Kluyveromyces lactis: one gene and its partner. The protein of the gene in region 2 binds, or shares a complex with, the protein of the main gene of each other region. Links are inferred from orthologs where the notes say so. Each region holds a gene or a part of one and is shown on either strand. Other genes may lie near its edges.

Region 1 (11,338 bases), about 2.4 Mb from region 2:
TTCACAGAAACAAAGCAAATCCTTCTTTAATTCCTGAATTGGGATCGTATTAATTCCAATGATTGTGCTGTTTTCCACTGTTCATACTTTTTTTTTGGCCCAAAATTGGACTTTTATGTGGGACTGCATCGATGTTTCTTCGTTTTTTTTTTCCTGTTTCTCTATATGATTCCCGGACTATATAGGAGATTATGAAAGAAAGGAAAAAGCTTAAGGACATTTTCTTAGGCGACACAGAGTAACTGAGGGGAATTAATCAGAGCACCGGCAGTACATTGCGTTTCCCACTACTGATCTACAGTCAGTTGCCAGTTCAATTACGTTTTGTCGCATACGGTTACGATAATATACTCAGAATATACACAGAGAAGAAGACAGGATACGAAGGCATCTAGAAAGGCTTCATGTAAAGATGAACAGAACTAAACTGGCACAATTACCCAAGGTAATCGGAACTGCCAGCGCAGAACAATGACAAGTTCATTTTTCTACTTTCCAAATATTACGATCTCTGCTATAATTGTATGTTCCTGTGTTAACTGTAGCGAACCATAACTACGTAAGTGTTTGGTGTCAAATAAGAGTATGGAAGAAGGTCCTTATTTTTTTTGTCAAAGTAGATAGTCGGACGTCAGTGAAGCTTAAACGGTTCGAATCCCTCGAGCTTCAGTTGGGCAGTTTCTTGTCAGCTCGGTCATTTTCGGGAAGTGGATTCCACCATTTTCGAAAGGAGCCAATGGTTTGTACGGCAGTTTCAAGGCCGGAGAAATGGAATCTCCGGGGAAATTAACCAATCCGGCGGAAAGATGAAAAACAAAAAAAACTCTTACAAATAGCACCAGAAAGTAGAGAGGCAACAGAAAAAAGTAGGAATATATACAATGACCTTCTCCTGTTCAGCGCGTGAAACATCTTTCTCCGGGGTAGACCGGAATATAACATGTTCAAGCCGCTCTTTGAAGCGTTTACTCACTTTCCTTCAGGGTCTGTCGTTAATTCCCTAACACGCTCCCGGATTTTTCATTTTTTTTGAAACTTTATGTGGGGTAAGTCATTTCAACAGCGGGGGCACGGGACGAAGAAAATGATTCCGGAGCTGCCTGGAGTTGTCGCAGATGTGATCTGGTCGTTGGAAAAACTAAAACTTCATCTTTGACAGCGCCGTGGCGCAGTGGAAGCGCGCAGGGCTCATAACCCTGATGTCCTCGGATCGAAACCGAGCGGCGCTATTTTTTGATTTTTTTTTTATTCGTAGCTAATCCTGCCGTCATCTCTCTTTCTGGTCTGCGAAACTGAAAACCAAAAAAACCTGAAAATGAAGAAGTGAGATGAATAGGCTCATCTCATCTTCAGCATACTAACAATTTTTATTGTTATATAAAGGAACTCCTCTCTGAAGCAATCTCTCAAGAATAAGTGAATGTCTACTGAAACTGCACAAGAGGAGCTGCTTGCGCGTCATCGCAAGGAACGTAAAGATTTGACCAATCAGATTACTTCTTTGAAGAAGCAAGCATCAAAGAAGACGAGGAAGCAAGTAAATGCCAAATGTACAGACTTAGAACAGGAACTTGATACTCGACATAAATCAGAGCTCGCAAAGTTGAACGGTGTTGCTTTTGAGCATTCTGATTCGGAAGAAATCACACCAGCTCAATTATTAGCTCAATTGTCCTTAGATCAAGATCCTGTGCAATCTGTTTGTAAAACCGATGAGTTGCAACAGCGAGAACCAGAGTTACAGGGAAAGAAACGTAGGAATAGACAAAAGGAGCGATTGGCAAAAAGGGATGCAGAGGTTGCAAGAATTAAACAACAGGCAATGGAAGAGGCAGCCGAGCAGCCGAACTTGAAAGATATTGAGCAAAACTCTTTGGATAAAGTTTGTGTAGTGCTAAATTTGAAACAATTCGATATCCAGCCGGATGGACACTGTTTGTTTAATAGTATTCTAGATCAACTGAGGCTCCGCCATCAGACTAATAATGACATTGAGTATGATTATAACTTTCCAGAGGAATATACAGGTACCAAGTACGTGTCTGAAATGGACGTCTATTCGTTGAGATCGCTTTCATCATCATTCATTAGGGAGAACCGTGACGATTTCATCCCATATCTTTTCGATGAAAATACAATGACCGTAAAGGATCTTGATGAGTATACAAAAACTATGGAAACTACAGCCCAATGGGGTGGAGAAGTAGAAATTTTGGCACTATCAAAAGTTTTTAACAGTACCATTAGCATTTTGATGTCAGGAAGATCCACTTACAGGATAAATGAAGACGCGAAGAATCCCGAACTCAAGATCGTATACTACAAACATTCGTATACGCTCGGAGAGCATTATAACTCGTTGCATGATCTGTAGTTTTACTATCAATAGTTGGTTCGTATTGTCTTATTGTAGAAGTTCGATTTCACATCTCATCCCATCATTTGTTTTTTTTTTTCAGATTCTGTCAATATAAGATACATTGAGTAATCAAATCTTGAAATAGTTCATAATACTTAAATTTCAATCAACTGACCTCAATGCAAGGTATTGCCTTGTGCCAACATACATGCATCTAATTCACCAATCTATAAAACGGTTTTATACCGTACTGGGACGACCTTCAAATAATCTAGCTTCAGGCATCGTTGGATTGGCCAATGTAGGTAAATCAACGTTTTTCCAGGCAATAACCAAGTCGAAATTGGGTAATCCAGCTAACTACCCTTTTGCCACTATAGAACCCGAAGAGTCCAAGGTTATTGTACCCAGCTTTAAATTGGACCATCTTCATAAACTCTATGAGAGTCAGAAGAAAATTCCAGCTACACTTTCCATTTTCGATATTGCTGGATTAACAAGAGGAGCATCAAGTGGGGAAGGTTTGGGAAACAAGTTCCTTAATGATATTCGGCACGTAGACGGAATATACCAAGTGGTTCGAGGATTTGAAAATGATGAAATTACTCATATTGAAGGAAATGTGGATCCAGTTAGAGACTTGTCATTAGTGCAAGATGAACTGGTGCTGAAAGATCTCGAATGGCTGGAAGGTGCAAGAGAAAGAATTAACAAAAAGATAAACAGATCTCCGAAAAACTCTCCAGAATTCTTAGAAATGCATCTTGAACTGAGATTGCTAGAGGAATTAGAGGCCCATATGTACGAGGGAAGAAAATTGTCACACTTCAAGCAGAACTGGACAGAGGAAGAGATTAAAATCCTGAATAAACACAACTTTCTAACAGCTAAACCAACCCTGGTTCTACTTAACGTTGCTCCCAAAGATTATCTTTTGCAAGAAAACAAATTCTTGAAGAAAATCAAGGATTGGATCCAAGAATATGCGCCTGGAGACGAAGTGATGCTGTTTAGTGCTGAACTTGAAACGAAGTACAACGAATTGGACAACAATCTCCAAGAATTTGAGGCTTTTTGCAAAGAGATCATCGGTAAAGAGAAGTTGGAAGTACCTCTGACAGCACTCCCAAATATTATCATCAAAATGAGAGAGTTATTGCAATTGATCAGTTTTTACACCTGTGGACCAATTGAGGCTCGTCAATGGACCATTAGGAAAGGAACGTTGGCACCAGAAGCTGCTGGAACTATCCATAGTGATTTAGAAAAGACATTTATCAGTGCTAACATTATAAAATTCGATGATATCAAAAAAATGGATCCTCCGCTTCAAGAGTCGCAATTGAAGTCTCAAGGGAAGATCAAAAGAGGCGGTAAACAATATGTGGTCGAAGACGGTGATATAATCCACTTCAAAGCTACTAGTGGTAAAAAATAATAGAGGCTATACCCATAGCAACACAAGATAATAGACTCAAAGGCGTACATACTGCAAGAATATAAGCTTTGTAAAGATCCGACATGTATAAAGAATAAAGTAAAGGCATTGTTTTCGTTTTCCATTGTATTACTAGTGATTATCAGAGCGTTTGACAGGTATCTCTTCTCATTTCTAATGATCGAAGAGCTGGGTTTATAGCATTGTCACTAAGGACATTTTCTCATCATTAAACTAATTATGGAGAAGCCCTCTCCTCTATCTTCAATGTCTTTCCTAGCGGAAGTACACGATGCTTCTGCTGAAGCACCTAAGTAACTTGATCTTAGTGGTTTAAATTCGATTACCGAATGCTTCGAGTATGGAAACGATCCGCATTTAATCTGAATGGTATTTTTAATCGATCTTTGTCAAGTATCAAGTTGCATCAATGTGTTCGAGTTCTTATACATTTGAAAGAAAACTTCAAAAAAAAAAAATTCGAAAAGAAAAAAAAAAACACATCCAAACTGGCGTTCATGAAATTCTTACATGAATTAGGGTTACAAAGTGATGTGGAAGAAAGGCCATTTGCAGAAGTCTCTGCTTCGAGTTGTCAGCTTGAATGCCTTGCTTTGAAGTCCCATGATTAAAATCATATTCCATTAAAAAAATATGTACGAATTATACACAAAGGATGGAGGGCACTAACACATGACAACAAAAAAGTTACTCATTCAAGCAACCAATAAACCAGACAGTAACCAAACAAATATGAGTGAGATGTTGGTAGAGGATATGATTATTTTTTAACCACTGATAGTAGAATAGAGGTACACGATAAACTACCCTACCTAGAGTGGGTTGTCATTTTTTGAAGTGTCAGAAAAAGGTTCCATCCTATATTGAACACAATTGACCATACTTTATAGGAGTCTTACTATAATCTTAGAGAATGAGGATACAAGAGCTTTCTTGAGACCTGGATATCGAATAAAAGTAAAATAAAAAAATTTGAATTCAAGGTATGTCGGTAGAAAACTCAAAGGATGTGCAGTAAATCTGGTCAACACTTTAGTTTCCTGCCCGTTATTCATTGAATGCCAATTTGATATTGACAATACATCATTATCGGTGCGTTTAGGCAGCGATGATGACTTCGACATCCACACCAGGTTCAATGGTGATTTGGGTGATTCTCTTGACGATGTGAGCTGGAGCTTCCAAGTCGATGTATCTCTTGTGGATTCTCATTTCGTAAGTATCCCAAGTCTTAGAACCTTCACCGTTAGGGGTCTTTCTGGTGGAGATCTTCAAGACCTTAGTAGGTAATCTGACTGGACCCTTCTTGACCAACTTGAAAGTTTCAGCATTCTTGATGATGTTGGCAGAAACGTTTTCCAATTGCTTGACCTTAGTGGAGGTCAAGTTAATTCTGATCTTGTGGATCACAACTTCTTGTTGTTGTTCAGATTTCTTTTCAACTTGAGACATCGTGTATACCTTTTAGTTTTATTGGTTTCTTATGACATGAATAGACTTAATATCTAATTGTAAGTAACCTTAACAATACCATGCTAATGCTCATCTATCTTGGAGAGCTTAGAATTTCAACTTCGGAGCACTAGCTTGTCGACATCATAGAACATCATGAAATTTTCATATAGTATTCTGTTTTAGGAAAGAGAGGATGATTATATCAAAAAAGTAGAATCCCATGGCATATATGTACGGGTGTATAAAGAATGAGCAGTCCCCGGTAATATCCGTCGGAGGTGCGACGGAGATTCTTGAACATTAAGGATCAATCGTTGCCAGAATAACGAAACAGGTCAATTGCAAAAGATAAGAATGCCTTTTTTGTGCAAACTAACGTTCCAATACACTTAGGATTGAATTAAGGATAATGTATGTGTACCATCCACGAAGTATATAAATACACTCATTAGTGAATGAAATAGTTCTATCCCAGTTGATACTTCGCTTAAACTAATTCTGATGGCATTGTATATTATCTCCCGTTGAAACTGTCAAAAACCAACATACTGGCTATTTATCATGACACACACAGAATGCGAAGACTTGGAGTACTTAAGATCCATTCAATCCGTTAGGGAAACTTGTAAGAAAGTATACGGCCCCCCTTTGCAAACAGAAAATGGTGACAGTACACATTTTGAAGTGGATCTGGGTAAAATGTCGAAAGTGACAGATTACTTGGTCAATATTATTGAAAGAGATTACAAGAACCTAGGCGATATTCCTGTTCATGGAAGATGGCAACATTTAAACTGTAACGGTATTGATAGAATGGGATCTCTCATTAATTCCTGGGCTGCCCAGAACATCGATCCTTTGGAGGTATGCAGACGGTTGATTGATTTGATAACGTTTAGTGTGATTGTCGATGCTGGTGCAGGTTCAGAATGGTCTTTTGTTGAGAAAGAAACTAAGATTAACAGATCAGAAGGACTAGCGGTGGCCTCTTTCTATATGTTCAAAGATGGTGCCTTATCGCATGATAAATCTCAGACAGTACAAGGTTCTAGATTGAAAGACTTCAGTCAACAAGATTTTGATAAAGGGTTTCAGATAAGTAGTAAGAACTCTTTGCAAGGTTACGAAGGTAGAATTCAGTTGATCAGAAGTTTAGGGAAATCCCTTTCTGAAAGACCTGAGTTATTCGGTGAAGATGCCAGGCCTGGTAATATAATTGATCACCTTTACAAATTAAATGGCTCTGAAAACATTGATTTGCAACAGTTGTGGGAGGTTCTAATGACTGGATATACCTCTATATGGCCTACTGGAAGATTAACTCTGAACGGTGAACCTTTAGGCGATTGCTGGGTGTATAAAACCGAAAACGATGAAATTATCGTGTCATTTCATAAATTGACGCAGTGGTTATGTTATTCATTATTGAGACCACTAGAGGAATTTGGCTACAAGTTCAATATATCTTCCAAGGACTTGCAAACAGGTCTACCAGAGTACAGAAACGGGGGGTTGTTCTACGATTTGGGTGTACTATCTTTGAAAGAAGAATATTTGAACATTGGATTGACTAATTCGAAGAAGTATGGATATGATCCGTCAATCCCAACATTCACGCCCGATGATGGTGTAATTGTAGAATGGAGATGTCTTACCATTGGGCTCTTGGACATCTTGTTACCATTAGTAAACGATAAATTAGGTTCTAATTTACAATTGTCACAGTTGATAGAAGCTGGAACCTGGAAAGCTGGAAGAGAAATTGCCGCAGAACTTAGATCAAAAACATCTGGGCCACCGATCAATTTACACAGTGATGGCACAGTTTTTTGAAAGGCTCAAGCAATTAGAACAGTTGGCTCCAACTTTGCCATATCCTATCTTGAATGTCATGATTCTAGTTTATATTTATAAATGTTTCATAATTTTGATTTTTAAAAGTGACGTTAAGAACTGAAAAGAATAAACGGAGTAGATTTTTGTATCGATGTGTTGACATATTGCATTTTTTTATTTACGAATATAATTAGACGCTGCTTGACTATACACACGCACTTATACTATGAATTCAACATAAAGAAGAAACGCCCTTATGAAGAATAAATTATCAGTTCAGTGGCAACTTCTGACGATCATCTAGAAAAGTAATTTATTTTTGGTGGCACATTGTTTCCCTGATAAATTTGGATAAAATAGCCTTGGGAAAATAATTCCTTCAGGCTGATGGTTGCACCGGCTTTTTCTTATCGTTTTCATCATCTGAGAAATTTAGGTCTGCTTCATTTGGTTCAGATCCGGCTGGTTGTTCGTACTCTTGGTTCCATTCTTGTTCCAAAGATTGCAAATCGTCTAGATCGAAATCTGCAACATTTTCTGGATCTGTTGGCAATTGTTGCGACACAGCTAACATATAAGAAGTAGATGTAGGTCTCCATGTGAAGGAAAGAGCAACGAATACGGCATAATATACCAAGGATGGCCAGAAATCCACAAAGAAGAATCTAGTTCTCCAATGTTGTTCGACCATCTCGATACTACTCATACCGATTAAAACAAAAGAGGATAGAATTATACCACCAAAAATAACGAATAAGGCGACATAAAAAATAATTATCAATTTTTTGTACATGCCCAATTTAACGATTTGCTTTTGTTGCTTCAAGTATTTGACAGTTTGATCGAGGGATTGTAGAATCAAGAAGTAGAAAATCATGAAACAGATGCCTAATGGGATAAAGAAAAACAATGGGACCATGGATGTCGAATCTGAAGGAGTCATATAGTTTTGAATAAGGGCAGCGACAGATATAGCAAACGTAAGTACGGAGAAAAATTGAACACGTCTCATCGTGGTCTTGTTCAATTTAGGGTAAACCACACCGTAACCTTTGCAAATAACAAGAAGTAAGAATAGAGACATGGTGATCTTTGCAGAGTTCAAGATTGAAACAATGACCATGTAAACAGTGGTACCAGCGGTCGAACCCTTAGTGTTCTTCAAGTCATAGTAACCCCAAATGAAGATTGTATCAATGGTTAAAAACACAAATGCAGCCAGTAAATATTTTTGCAAGGGCAATAGTTCATGCTTGTGTTTCCAGAAGGCAAATAAGTACAAGGCCATAGCGACAACATAAAAGATTGCCAATAACCCATACAATGGCAATTTGTTAATTTCAGAAGCAGCTAGATTACCAAAACTATTCCTGAAATTTACCTCAGCCTTGTAAGAGATCCCAGTGTCCTTAGCGTAAGTACCAACACAATAGTAACCAGTTTTCTTAATGGCATATTTGTCCTTCACAAGACCTGTATTTCCCACATAGAACGTATGAATGTCGGCACTTAATGACTTTTCGGTATCACTATCTGGATCATACGCTTCAGGTGAAATGATAAACTGGTTCTTGTTCTTTTCTTGACATAGATTCTCTTTTATCGCTTCTTCGTCACAGATATACTTAACTACACCCGCTTTCGTCTTAGCCCCAATGTGGATGTAATCTTGGAAATCAAAGATCACCACAGAGATGCCTTCTTTGTTCAATTTCTTTAAATCGAACGAAATATATGGATCTACACGACCACTCCAATCCTCTTTAGAATACATACCACTGCAGATTTGATTCTGCTTCTCTGTGATAGTACCCTTATTGGCCGTCGCAAAATGCAACCAAAGGGCCGTACAAAACAAAGTGACCCAATTCAATTTGAAATTCATCGTATTGTCTATCAAAAGCTAATTATAGGCCTTTATTCTCTCCTTTTTCCTAGACTCTCAAGAAAAGATCGGCAATTAGTTTTATTTCGTCTCTTTAAGAATCACACAGCCTCGGATATAAAGTAGGGTCCACAATTCACAAGCTACCACTGGATAAGAATAAATAGCACACAATTGGAAAGAAAAACCTTGTTCTTGTACAGTCGGAAACCGTCTCAGTATATTTTGCTGCCTTCCATTAAATTTTGTTCTGTTACGATATCTAGTGGGTCATTTCTTGTAAAAGGGACCTTTTATTTTCTCATTTCTCTAAAATGTTCAATCCATAAATTATCTGAAAAAACGTAATTTTCAAGAGATTTCGAATTAAAGGAATTTCCTCTAGTATTACAAAGCACTCATCTTATGCTAAGATGATTAACAAGTGGTTTGTGCATATATAGAGAAAGGATGAGAAGTTGCAAGACAACGGATTGTAAACTGCGAGGATGTTAGGAAGGTTTAGTTTTGGTCCCAAGTTTTATAAGAGCGTACATCGAACGGTGTTGAATCCCGTATGGCAGAGGTCTATTCATATCAAGACACTTACAACGCCTAATGAGAATGCATTGAAATTTGTTTCCACAGATGGGGGGCTGCTACAGGAGAAAGGCACACAGAGTGTTGAGATCAAGAACACTGATGAGGAGCTTTTGAAACATGCTCCATTCCCATCTAAAGTGTTCCAGCAATGTCCTGGTGTTGAAGCAATGATGATCGGTGATGATTTCGTCACTATAAATAAAGATGAACTGATTCATTGGAACCAAGTGACTCCTACGGTGATAGATCTATTGGTACAACATTTAGCCAGTGGGAAGCCCACGTTTTTACCAGATTTCTTCGACGTGAAAAAGTCTTCCGAAGTTGGGTACGATGTGGACATTCCTAAATTTGAATACGATGAAGATGAGCAAGAGATCAGCGAGATGATCGATGAATTGATTCAGACAAGGATCAGACCTGCTATTATGGACGACGGTGGTGATATCCAGTACCGTGGATGGAATCCGGAGACAGGGACAGTTTATTTGAAGTTACAAGGTGCATGTAAGTCATGTTCGTCCAGTGAGGATACCTTGAAGCATGGTATTGAAGCTATGTTAAAGCATTACATCGAAGAAGTAGAGGACGTGGTTCAGATCTTGGATCCTGAGGAGAAGATTGCACTTGCGGAGTTCGAAAAACTTGAGAAGAAGCTGGAGAGCAGTAAGAGATGATTGCAATTGCCCAGTATGTCACTTCTTTCTAGCAATGAAAGAAACGTACAGGCATAACTAAGACTAAGCAAGGAATGAATCATGACAGCATGTATTTGCAAGGTATTATGCAAAACAGAAGTACACTATTATTTATTTATTTAATACATTCTATTTATCCCCTATTAGGATGCCCTTCTTGGGATCGATTTGTTTGATGTATTTTTCAATCCGAGAAGCCATCATGATATCAGCATCGGAAATACCAGATACATCATGCGTAGTGAGTCTGAACTGAACTCTGTTGTAGGTAGTAGTAATTGTAGGATGATGGCCCCATAAGTGTGACCTCATGGCAACTTTGTTCAAAAAACTCCATGTCTCTTCAAAATCTCTGAACTTATAATCTCTAACCAATTCATTCTCCATTAATCTCCATTTAGGCAATTTTCTGAGTTCTTGTGTCAGAAGTTTTGGTGGCAACAGCACTGGTACCTGTTTTACTATCTTATTGTACATGTCTATACTATTCAGTGCTTGAAGAGTGGCATTTATTACCTTTTCCAGCATCTCTCTATGCGTAGTTGATAGAATTCCAAGATGTAAGAAATCTTTATTAACTAAAAATATTGAGAAGAAACAAAACACAAGAAGCACCATTTTATCAAAAGTGCTTTGAACAAACACCTTCAAAGCCATTTATTCTAGCATATATAGTAACTGCAAACCTAACCGAGACCTGAAGTAAATTTAGAGTGCCGAGTTAACTATCAACTGATGGTCAAATCAGCCTTGTCATAATGTCATCATGTTTCCTTTTGCTCGATGAGACGTATGAACCGCTAATAAGAAGAGCACTACGACCGATCCATTTCCTTGATGATGCTATACTTCAATTACAGAATAACCTTAAACATCATAAGGGATGCACAAAACCTATATTCGAAGGCAATGGGTGGCATTACGCTGTGATAACTCGTGATAACCTATATTTCGCTATGATAATGCAAGTGAATAATAGTGTTTCTCCCATAAGTGTGTTACATTACTTAGATGAAATCTACCAGTTATGCAGGAAATTTATGGGCATGAAGCTTAACAAGCTC
Region 2 (11,194 bases):
GTTTCTTGCTTCGAGTAAAGCGCACTAGCGCTATTGTTCCGTACCTTTCACTTCACTGGAGAACGCTCAACTTAACACTTCTGGGCATCAGTTTACTAATTCTGATCAGGTCTCTTGTACGTGCCATTGAATTTATTCAAGGTAATAAAGGCTTCATTATCAGTCACGAGTACTTCTTGTACGTGTTTGACGCGCTAATGATGATTCTTGCTTCATTGGTATGGATCGTTACTTTCAAATTTGGAGACATATTTAAGATCATTTATGAGGTCAAACTCCTTGATTCTTTCAAGGAGAAGAGTGGTGATGATGCCAGCTATATGCAAACTGAAGCTTTTGATAAAAAGTGAACAAAGGCCCAAGTAAAGTTCGTGTATGTTTTTGAAATGGACTTTGATATCCAAGTATGATATTGTGAGACGAATTTTTATGTAGTTGCAGCAGATACATAAGAAACAAATTGAATAAATGTCATATTACTATTTTCTGACTAATTCTTAAAGGATTATCCGATCGCGATATTTTGACTACCAACATCAGCAGTCAGAAATTGTTCCAGTACTGAACCACGATTCCAAATTTGCAACGGTGTACAGACAGTATACTATCCCCACAAATCTAGCATATGCCAGTAACTGTACCCATAGTTAGTTCCACATTTTGTGATGACCACACTTTTTGCTGTCTATTTTTTTACAGCCAACCTGACAGATGTCAAAAGGCTACGTATCTTTCTTTAAGGGTCTGTAGTCGGACAGAAACCTCTGCGTCCTCTTACAGGTGCCGATCAAAAGCATTTTTTCAAACCTTGTAAAAATGTCTTCGAGACATATTCTTTCTTTCCACAAAGTCACAGTGATGAAAGTTTAAGACCGCTCAACGGCCATGAATACTACCAGCAAGTCAAACACGTACTAAACTAGTGTAACACCAATCTCATAATTTTAATTTTGTCTTCACCGTAATACTTCATTTGTGAGAGACCCCGGGAGTTACTAATTTTGAAATAGATAAACACAATGAGTCTTTGCAGAGACTCTCAAGCAATGTGGGCCAATAACCCATACTGCTGTTTCAACAATTTAACAAATATAAAGTCAGGACCTCTCTAACAGATGATATGTGATTCTGTGTGGTTGTTCTTTCTTATACGTAATATATAAGATTTAAAGAATTATCATCTATAGAAAACAAGCAAAATACACTACCATGTCTGAATTGAAAATAGAAAACGAAGATGCTGAAGTAGTCGATAAAGATGATAAATTGCAAAACGGGAAATACACCGAATTTGAGACTAGCTCAGATTCAATTGATAAAAAGGAAAAAAAAATTGATGTCAAAGATGCTGACGAACTTCTTAAATTTATGGACAAATACGAATCTACCGTGGAACCACTTACTGAGGAGGAAGAGAAAAAGTTTGTTAAGAAAAACTTCGCTGCTGTATCTCTATTAACCATTCTTGTTACGTTAATCCTTTTCATGGATAAATCAACAATCGGTTATACTACCATTCTTGGAATCTATACAGACACAGGAATCAGTAAAGGCGACTTTAACAACTTAAATTCTATATTCTACGCTGGGTACCTTATTGCTCAATGGCCATGTCATATATTAATGCAAAAATTGCCCTTGGGAAAATATCTCGCTGGAAGTATTTTCTCCTGGGCAATAATTGTAGGGTTGACAGGAATCTGTAATAATTATGGTAGTTTAATGGCTTGTCGTTTTTTTTTAGGTGCCACCGAAGCCGTGGTGGTTCCTGCTTGTGAGATTACCCTTGGTATGTTCCTTACTACGGAGCAACGTGAAATTGTTCAACCAGTGTTTTGGGCAGCTACAGCAGCAGCACCTTTACTTTCATCGTTCATTTCTTTTGGATTGATGCATACGAATACATCCACTTATCCTTGGAGAATATTTATGGCAATCAATGCTGGTTTATCGTTGATACTTGCCATAATTGTCTTACTCCTCTACCCTGATAACCCTGCTAACGCAAAGTTTCTGTCAACAAAAGAAAAAGTCTATCTTATAAAGCAAGTGCAACGGTCAACGGAATCATCAATTGAACAGAAGACAATCAAAAAATATCAAATTTATGAAACATTCAAAGATCCAGTTTCATGGTTGTTCTTTTTCCAAAGTTTTACTCTTATGCTGTCAAATTCATTGACATACCAACAGAACCAATTGTATGTTGATATCGGTGTCGACAACCTAGGATCTTCATTGGTTTCTGCGGCTGGGAGTGTTTGGGACATTCTACTGTACTTGATATTCGCTTTTGTTATCCTCAACTATCCAAATCAAAGTGGTTATATTGCAGCCGGTTGTCTGATTCTACCAATTGCGTCCAGTATTGCGATGGTTACAATAGATTGGTCCAACAAATATGCGTTGTTAGCCTGTATGATCTTAGCCGGCTCCTCAAAGGGTATCACATACATTATTGCTTTGGGATGGACGACATCATCTGCAGCCGGTTATACCAAGAAACTCTACAGGAACGTAATGTTTATGTTGGCATATGGCGCTGCAAACATCATTTCTCCTCAACTCTGGAATCCAAAGGATGCCCCAAGATACTATCCATCCTGGATTATTCAAATTGTGGTTTCATTCTTCCTTAATATTGTTATTTTGTTAACAATCAGATACATTTTGGCGAAAAGGAACAAAGAAAGGTATCAATGGGTTCAAGAACATCCAGAAGACAACTTTGGTATTGTTTCTTTCACAGAAGGAGTCAACGAAAGAGTTAATCTAGCCATGCTAGATCTTACCGATTTTGAAAACAAAAGATTTATCTACCCACTATGAGTTACCTTTAGTAGGAGTGTATAATTTTGGGATGGAGCAACTATCATTCTGTAAATCGTTCGTCAATTTCTACAAATTTACCCAAAGCTCTGTTCTTTTCAACTGCATATATCCACATTTCTAGAACGTCATTTTATGGAAATATTGTATATTTGAAAATGGGGCATCGCTATGTGGACGAGTACGAATAGAGCCTTTCACAATCCATAAATAGCTCCAAAGACACATAAGCAGAAATTTCTTGTGTTATCGTGGAAGCTATTACTATGGCTTTGTTGATCCTGCATATCAAATAGCATTAACAAGCCACTCTTTCTTTTAAGTTGCTGAAATATCAGTTAATAACTGTCAGTCCAATTATTTCCTCAAAAGAACATTGTCTTGCTACACTTCACTGCACTATCCTTTGGTCCTTAGGATCAATTATATAAGCGCCAAAATAAAGAGGTAATGAAGATCAGTTTTGAAATTGGCGATAACATTTTATTTCGGCCCTATGCTGTGCTATACCATCCTGTCTCTAAGACAGTTCCTAATATTATATCATTGAGGCCATTCTGTTAAGGAATGCTGTTTTTTTTTATATTGATTCCAGTGCATGTTGAGGCAGGAGTAAGGATGTGAGAAATCTAGTAACCTTCTTCGGGTGATACAATGCGTATGTCGGCTTTCTGCTTTTACAGTACTTGATTGTTTAATAAAGTCCTTCAGCTTGCATGTTGTTGTTATAGCCGAGTACTCTTTATTTGTAGAATACACAATCACGAACATCAAGCATAGTATGCATTGCAGTTCAATAGCAAATTTCAATATGGTAGATTTCTAACCATTTCATTCAGCCAGAAGTTCTGTTAGAGATAAGTTTACGATGTAAACATTATAGTACTATTATAATAGCATACATTAAAACTGATGTAAATTTCAGATTTCAAATGTGCGAAATCTGTCCCACATACCTCCTGAGATCTACTGGCATATCAGAAGTCTTATCACGACTTATTACCAACTCGTATTTCTTTAAATGCCTAACTGCACTCCAAACGGCCGATGAATTGTTAAAGATGACAATCTTATGTTCAATAGACGATAGCTGTAACTTTAAATGATTTCCTAAGTGGGCAACTTCTGGTAAAACTAACATTACGCTGTCTTTTGATAGTTCTTCTTGCCAATTTTCGATCTTATCGAACAAGTCTTGTGTAAGAACGTAACATTTCGACTTTGGTTTTACGTCTCTTATATTCGGGTTTCGCTGGCCACGATACAGATATAATAAATAACCTACAGTTACTGCCACTGTCGATAATACCCCAACAGCTATAATCGAAAGCTTCTTTTGCCGGGCTTGCTTCATAAGGGACTTGTTTAGCCAATTGGTGGTTTCCTTATCTCCTCGCATATAATGGCAATGAGGTTTCTATTTATGATTTTGATTCCATTTCACTTGTTTTTATAAACAATATATCAGTATGTACAATACATAAATAAGTAGAAACCAGAGAACCGTCAACATCTTGAACCCTTAATCTTTCGGCAACCCACAATGATAGATTCTCCTATTTTTTATGCGACGACTGTCCATTTGGATCATATTGTGACGGCTTTGAATTGTTTAACACCTTTTGGAGTGAAAGGTGAAATGCTCATCACCATAGATAAAAATGGTTTGTCCTTTGCCCAAGAAAACAATCATGTAATCAAGATCCAATTGGTTCTTTCACGGGAGTTATTTCAAACCTTTCACTATAGCCCGATAACTGAAACATCTTTGACCAAGGTATCCCTGCGGCTTGACCATGTATTGGATAGTTTGAATATCAGTAACGATCGGAACGATATAATTGAGTGTACTTTAACATATAATGGGGATGGATCCCCATTCATATTAATATTCGAAGATAACATGATCACTGAAAGCGTCGAATACTCAACATATCTGCTCAAAGACTTAGACAACACTGGGTTGGTACTAGATAGAACGCGACTGCAATTCGAATGCATAATAAAAGGGGATGTCTTACACAATGCCTTACACGATTTGAAGGAAATTGGATGCAAAGATTGCTATTTTTATGCGATACATAACGAAACCACCAAAAAGCCCTTATTCGCATTGATTTCAAGATCTCAACAAGGTTTATCTAAGATCATATTACCTAATGAGAGATCGATTTTAGAGAAGTTCGAAATATACGCAAATGATTCAACCACCCTCTTATATGATCATCCAATGATAAGTGTTTTTGATTATGGAATGCTAGACAAAATACGAGCCAGTGCTCGGATTGCTTCAAAAATCATGATACGTAGAGATGTACATGGTTTGATGACTGTTAATATATTGAATGAAACGAAGGATATACTAAGACCTAATGACCAGGAGTATAAGAGGACTAGAGCCATTTCAGGTAACAATCTACCAAGTCATTATCCTGGGATAATTATTGAGATATGCATGCTTGAGAAAGCTCTTCCAGAGCTTCCAGACGTAAATGAGATAAAAGTAATGATGATTGAATATATGGGAAGTGAATCGCGCCATAATTTCCTTCCCAATACACAACAACCGCCGAAGAAAACTGCACATGACGATAAAGAAGAGGAAAATAGTGACGGGTATGAAGCTGCTTCGCAAGATTTGCCGCTATTCTTCTAGCGCAACCCTGCTTCGACAAGCTGAATTAATCAGGTTGGAATTAACGTCATTTTAGGTATAGATGGAAACTATTTGTAAACATATAGATACCCTAGAATATATATACAAACTATAAAATAGAGCATTTTATCAAACCAAACAATGTCCATATTCCCATGAAGAAATCTGTTTATGTTATTGTTGAGTATGAGAAAAATGAGTAAAACAGAAGCGTTAAATTGGATTTGAACATAGATTCAAAATCCACTCATTTATTGTTGGCTGAAATGTTCCAAAAGAATTTCTCTTTCTTGGGTGTCAGCACCCCAGTTCTTAACAACAACAACGGAAGCACCGACGACCTTTCTGGCGTTACCGTCACGGTCGATCTTACCCAAACCGGCCCATTCACCTAATTGCTTGGCATCAGCAACCTTGATTAATGGAACGTTGTTTTCAGTGGCCAAACCTTGGACCAACTTGCTGATGGCTTCTTCAGTAACCGATTCAACCAAAACAGCTAGTTGACCTTCACCTCTGGTCAAAGCCTTGGCAGATTCTCTCAAACCTCTGGCCAAACCATCGTGAACCAAAGAGGTTCTCAAGACGACCTTTAGGGCATCTTCGATGGTCAATTCAGCGACTGGGACTTGTTGGACTTCTTCAACGTCAGACATTTCTAATTTGATAAAATTTTCTAAAGTATTGACTTCTTCGACAGTGGTACTGCTCCGTGAAGACTTTAGAATAACATAAAACTAAAAACATACTAAACTAATAAGAAGACCATCCGAAACGTTTTATTCAATACTCTTCAACATATTAGCTTAAATCATGGGAATTCAAAATATAAAGCTTCCACCATTCACCGTGAAAAATAACTTTAAGGTTTAGCGCACTATATACGTTCAACACTTAAGATATTTCAGAATCAACAGACGACAGCGGAGGGCAGAACAACTGCGTCCTTTTCTTTCGCTGTAATGTCCAGGTGTTTTCGTGAACATTTTTCTTAAGACTAGTCCGTGGTGGCGCGTACTATGTTGACGTGTAGATGCCATATTTGGAAATTCTTTAGTTTTCTTCAGATTTGAGGAGGATTTTGGAATATGTACGGGTGCAAACAAATATGACAGTCACTGGTATTTTAATCTTGTTCAAGTCTTTTCATTAAGATTAGAAGTGATGAATACAACAGCATGGGTCGCGCTTCGTAGTTTAAATATCAATAAGCGCTATAGTCTAGTAGTCGTTCTGTCAACTCTGACGATTCACGAATTTGAACTGCTGTTTGCAGACAGTACGGATGTCATAAATACTTTCAGCATATCTCCGTTGAAAAGTCCGTCATTATACACCTGGGATATCAATCAATGGTAAGTTTACCAATGATATTGCACCACGTAGGAAAACATCACAGCTTTCCGTATCCGTTATAAGACCTCCTACCGTCCATATGTAGTCTTGATCGTAGACGATGGGATTACATGATAGTCTCAGCGCAGACAAAGGCATATCTTCCGTATATTTTGTTCTGGCTCTATTCATGATGTTAACAACTTCGAAGTTTCTAATTACCCGAGATGGTAAACTGATGAACGTGAAGGTTCCATCGGTATCATGCATGGGATGTTGATGTTTTTCGTCATACTTGTAGTCTTTCCAGTATAAAGAAGAATCCACGTCTTTTTGGCTCAATCCTCCAATTACCACGGTGATCTGTTTATTATGTACAAAAGTGTGTCCCGTAAGAGGAAATTCAACTATTTTGAGCTCTCCGGTCTCTTTGTCCTTGGCTTTCAATGATAGTTTTGTCCAAGTTCCCTCATCTAAATCATAACACCACATATCACCGTGAATAAACTTATTTGCGGAACCTCCATGTATTATTAGCGACTTATTTAATCTTTTGGGACTAGTGCTGGAATTCATGGTTCTTCCTGGAATCATCGGCTCGTTTACAACGGGTTCATCGTTAATATTGTCAACTATTTTGAAATTATGCATTAGTCTGTCTAACAGATCTGCGTCCATAGATTTCGGACTCAAAGAGTCTGTATCTACGACATAAGATGCCATAAAACCTCTAGGTAAAGGCCATTTTTTGTAATAGTCCCTCAGAAATGCTTCATCAACTGCGTTTTGTGGTAATCTAGATATTATTGTCACTAATGCGGTGTCAGCAAACTTCAAAAAGTTACGTTTGCCCCGAGATAGGACGGTCACTTCGACCTTCCATAAATCGGATATCGGTATGAACTTGCCATCTCCGCCTTCTCTATAACCACCCATAATTAAAATGCTGTAAACACCGGGTGAACTTGATGAGGTTGGGGAAATGATATTATCGGAACTCAATGCCATTGATGAGGATACAAAATTCATCATAGGGTCTTCGAAAGTATTAGTAGAGGAATTCTTTTCAGCTGTTGAGGATGACAATGAAGAAGGGGGAGAATCAGTACCTGATGTTGAACTTCTGGTAGATTTATGGGTGTGTGTTTTCAATGAAACCTGTAGATGTCCAAATCTGGGGACTGTATTCGGATATTTCACGTATTTTGTAGGTTGCGCAACAAGCTGTAATTTGGTGAACTTGTAGCACAAAGTGTCCAATATATATGCAGTATCGTTCAATATTGCTCGCTTTTTAATGTAGTATTCGTTTGTTTTAGGATCAATTGAAACTTCGTGTTTTATTTCAAAGCCACCATAATAGAATATATGCCTGTCGGTTAAAATAGAGCCCTGGACACAAACTAAAGCGGGAGGGATCTGTCCTGTGGCATTCACTTCAGTCCACTTTGTTGACGTATAAGAAAATGTGTACAACTTATTACTTGGAAGCATAGCCGGGTTATTAATGATTGTTTCGTCTAATGGAGGCGGAAGGTGTTTTATTCCGTCTACGTGAAAACTGGATAAGTCCGGGGAAACTTCGGAGAAAGAATAGGATGGTGACATTCCTCCAAAAATATACAAACAGCTATCCAAATTAACAATGGAATGATATGTTAGGGCAGGCACTCTAGTGTCACTAAAAATTGGGGGATACAGCTTAGTAATAGTAATTGGACATGTTTCTGAATAAGGAACGTTGAGTTTGATTTTATAGGATGTGTACAGCTTTGGCTCCATGTCCGGAGAGCTTGGTTGCCACCTAGCAATCGGCACCCACATATTTTCCTCACGTTCAGATATCTCACCGGAAGAAAAAGAGTCGCAGTTCGATGAAAATTTCTGACGGTACTTAATGTAAACCTTTGCTGCCTCAGTGGCCTGATTTTCCTGAGTAGTGTCAATGCTAAAAGAATTTGTGGACTTCTGCTCTTCAGGAAGACGATCCATGTTCCATGATGAGAATCTATGGGATAGTGAGGTCCTACGTCTTGAAGATCTGCTCTGAGGCGAATTGGTACTTTGAGAGACATAGCTATCTTTCCGTGTTGCCAAAGAGTCCAATGCTTCCTTATGATAGTAATTCCTTAATTTCTGTAGATTTACTTCCCTTTCTTCCTTCATAAGCTCCGCGGTAGCAGCAGGCGTATTCAATGTAGGAATATAACTAGTGATATAAGGAATTGGAGAAAATTGTTTGTATTGACCATCCTTATTGATTGTTTTGAATGTAGATGGGACGTCGTTCCATTCATAATTTAAATGGTAAGGTTGATCGTTTTTAATGGCACGTTCCTCAGATGGCCTGGGATCCTGACTAAGAGGATCAAGAGCTTCCATATTGAACGATGAATTTGGAGCTGACAAACTATGCAATAGCTTTATCTGAGGTTCCCTTTATTTTAAAGTTTATTCGACTGTTCCTTAATTGATTTGGGGGCGGATTGTAATATTTATTGTTCGTTTTTCTTTTTGTCTTTTGTTTTTCAAGTGGGAATTATTTATTTTGAAGGGCGTAAGGCACGGCTACTGGGCAGGATTTTGTAATCAAAGCAGTCATAAATTGCAGGTTCTTGCAACATACAATGAACTCCTTGTAAGTTAGTTCACAAGATAGCCTGATTTTGGATGGTGAATACCAATTTTTTTTTTTTTTTATTGAATTATCACCAACTTTATTGGGAAGAAAACGAAACGGCACAAACTAATATAGATGCTTTGAGATGTACATAAGAATTGAAGAGTAATATGAAAATATAAAAACGAAGCCTTCAGTCAAAAGCTGCGAGGCGTGCGAAAGGATAAGGTAGATATAAAACATGAATAAGGAAAAGTGCAAGCATTGTTCCTTGCTGAAAGTATGGGGAAAGCACATTGATTTAATTTCCCTTTTTTTTTTGTCGATTATGCTGTCTTTTATTGAGAATTAGGTATGATATTAGAAGTTTCGTAGACTTTCTTCTTTTTCTTCTTTTTCTTAACTTCTCCAGGTACAATAACCGAACGAGATCTCTTTAATTTTGCTTGATTATTCGAAGTAACTCCGTCATCCGAATTAAAACTGGTTGTATCGGTCATTATAATTTGGAACCTCTGTTTTGTGATTAATTGATTTGTCTTAGATTTGTTTTTATTCCCATTTCTGTTAAGCTTTGGTTTTCTTACTTTTTCCGAAGTAGATGATATGTCATGTGTTGTACCCATACTGGAATGTATATTAGCGTTATTAATGTTAATTGGTTGGTTGTTAGTGTCCGGTGCTCTTAATGACGGAATTGTGAGCCCTTCTTTGAAGGATCCCATTTTCGGTAGTTCAAAACTTGGGTCAAGTCTGAACTTCTCACTTTTATTTAGGGATAGTTTAGGTGTCGGTGATGCTCGAAGGTGAAATAGTTTCTCATCGATGTTTGGATCTCTTTCAGGCGAACATTTGACACCTGACGAATGAAGTTGGATGGTGGTAGGGGATGAGCAATATAGCTTCGATCCAGGGCTTTCATTCCTTAAAGCTGGTCTTGAAGTAGGTGTAGACTGTAAGTTATGCTTTCGGGCACGATGAAAGTCAACCAATGCGCTGTTGTTCGAAGAAATTGGTTGCATCATTTTGGTAAACGGTGTTCCCATTTCATTCAAAATCCTTCTGCCGTATGGCGTCAAGGACATCTGTTTTCGAGGCGGAGACAATGAAGTCTTGGAAGCAGAATTGAACATGAGGTTTACATCAATATTTTGCAATGGAGAGTGAATGGAATTCATCAATCCTGTGTTATTTTGTTGATGGGTTAAATTCGTATTATTAGTGACAAATTTAAGAGGTGTCTTGGCGGGAGTTTGTCTTTGTTGCCAAAAGTTTAAACCTGCTGGTGAGTCCATCAAAAATTCTTTGAATTGTTCAGGACTCGCAAGCAATAATTCGTTTGCAAAATTTCCGAAATGCAACACAGAGGAAGGTTGTTCATTTATATCAGGTAAGATTGGTTGAGAGATGTTATTTCCAGTGATTGCTGTTCTAGTTGCTGCCGCTGACGATGATGATGAGGATGAAGATATAGATGACTTCCCATTTCTTTCTGTTGAGTTTGCTGATGTCTGGATGGTAGAACCTTGATTGGAACCTGTAACAATGGAGGCGGAGGCTCTCGAATTCGAGGATGACAGAAGCACTTCAACGTCGTGTGATGTTGAACTATGTGTCGTACCAGTAAATTCAGCATTGATAGAGTTATCACCATCAGTTAATATTTGACTACTATTGACATCGATATCATTGGAGCTAGTGTTCGGATCAACGGTGGGTCGATGGCTGTGCTGGTGATGACGCTGGTGATTGCG

Evidence for each region.
Region 1: RPS12 (region 2) and RPS20 share a complex: the UniProt entries of both Saccharomyces cerevisiae proteins name them as parts of the small ribosomal subunit. The link is inferred for Kluyveromyces lactis from reciprocal best matches to the Saccharomyces cerevisiae genes RPS12 and RPS20.

Annotation. Positions count from the first base shown.
Region 1 is NC_006042.1:2,366,652-2,377,989, reverse strand, and holds RPS20 (40S ribosomal protein uS10), read right to left. Parts: upstream 5,271-11,338; coding exon 4,917-5,270; downstream 1-4,916. Other genes in the region: deubiquitinase OTU2, read left to right, coding at 1,421-2,374; YLF2 (Ylf2p), read left to right, coding at 2,568-3,797; KLLA0_F25520g (URC4/urg3 family protein), read left to right, coding at 5,835-7,106; KLLA0_F25498g (uncharacterized protein), read right to left, coding at 7,489-8,994; NFU1 (Nfu1p), read left to right, coding at 9,483-10,253; MCO14 (4a-hydroxytetrahydrobiopterin dehydratase), read right to left, coding at 10,404-10,931; APM2 (Apm2p), read left to right, coding at 11,033-11,338. UniProt on the Saccharomyces cerevisiae protein: Component of the ribosome, a large ribonucleoprotein complex responsible for the synthesis of proteins in the cell.
Region 2 is NC_006042.1:13,310-24,503, forward strand, and holds RPS12 (40S ribosomal protein eS12), read right to left. Parts: upstream 6,142-11,194; coding exon 5,737-6,141; downstream 1-5,736. Other genes in the region: KLLA0_F00264g (RTA1 domain-containing protein), read left to right, coding at 1-350; KLLA0_F00286g (uncharacterized protein), read left to right, coding at 1,210-2,829; ubiquitin-protein transferase activating protein PEX22, read right to left, coding at 3,758-4,228; RAD17 (Rad17p), read left to right, coding at 4,373-5,485; GPB1 (Gpb1p), read right to left, coding at 6,815-9,202; NDD1 (Ndd1p), read right to left, coding at 9,779-11,194. UniProt on the Saccharomyces cerevisiae protein: Component of the ribosome, a large ribonucleoprotein complex responsible for the synthesis of proteins in the cell.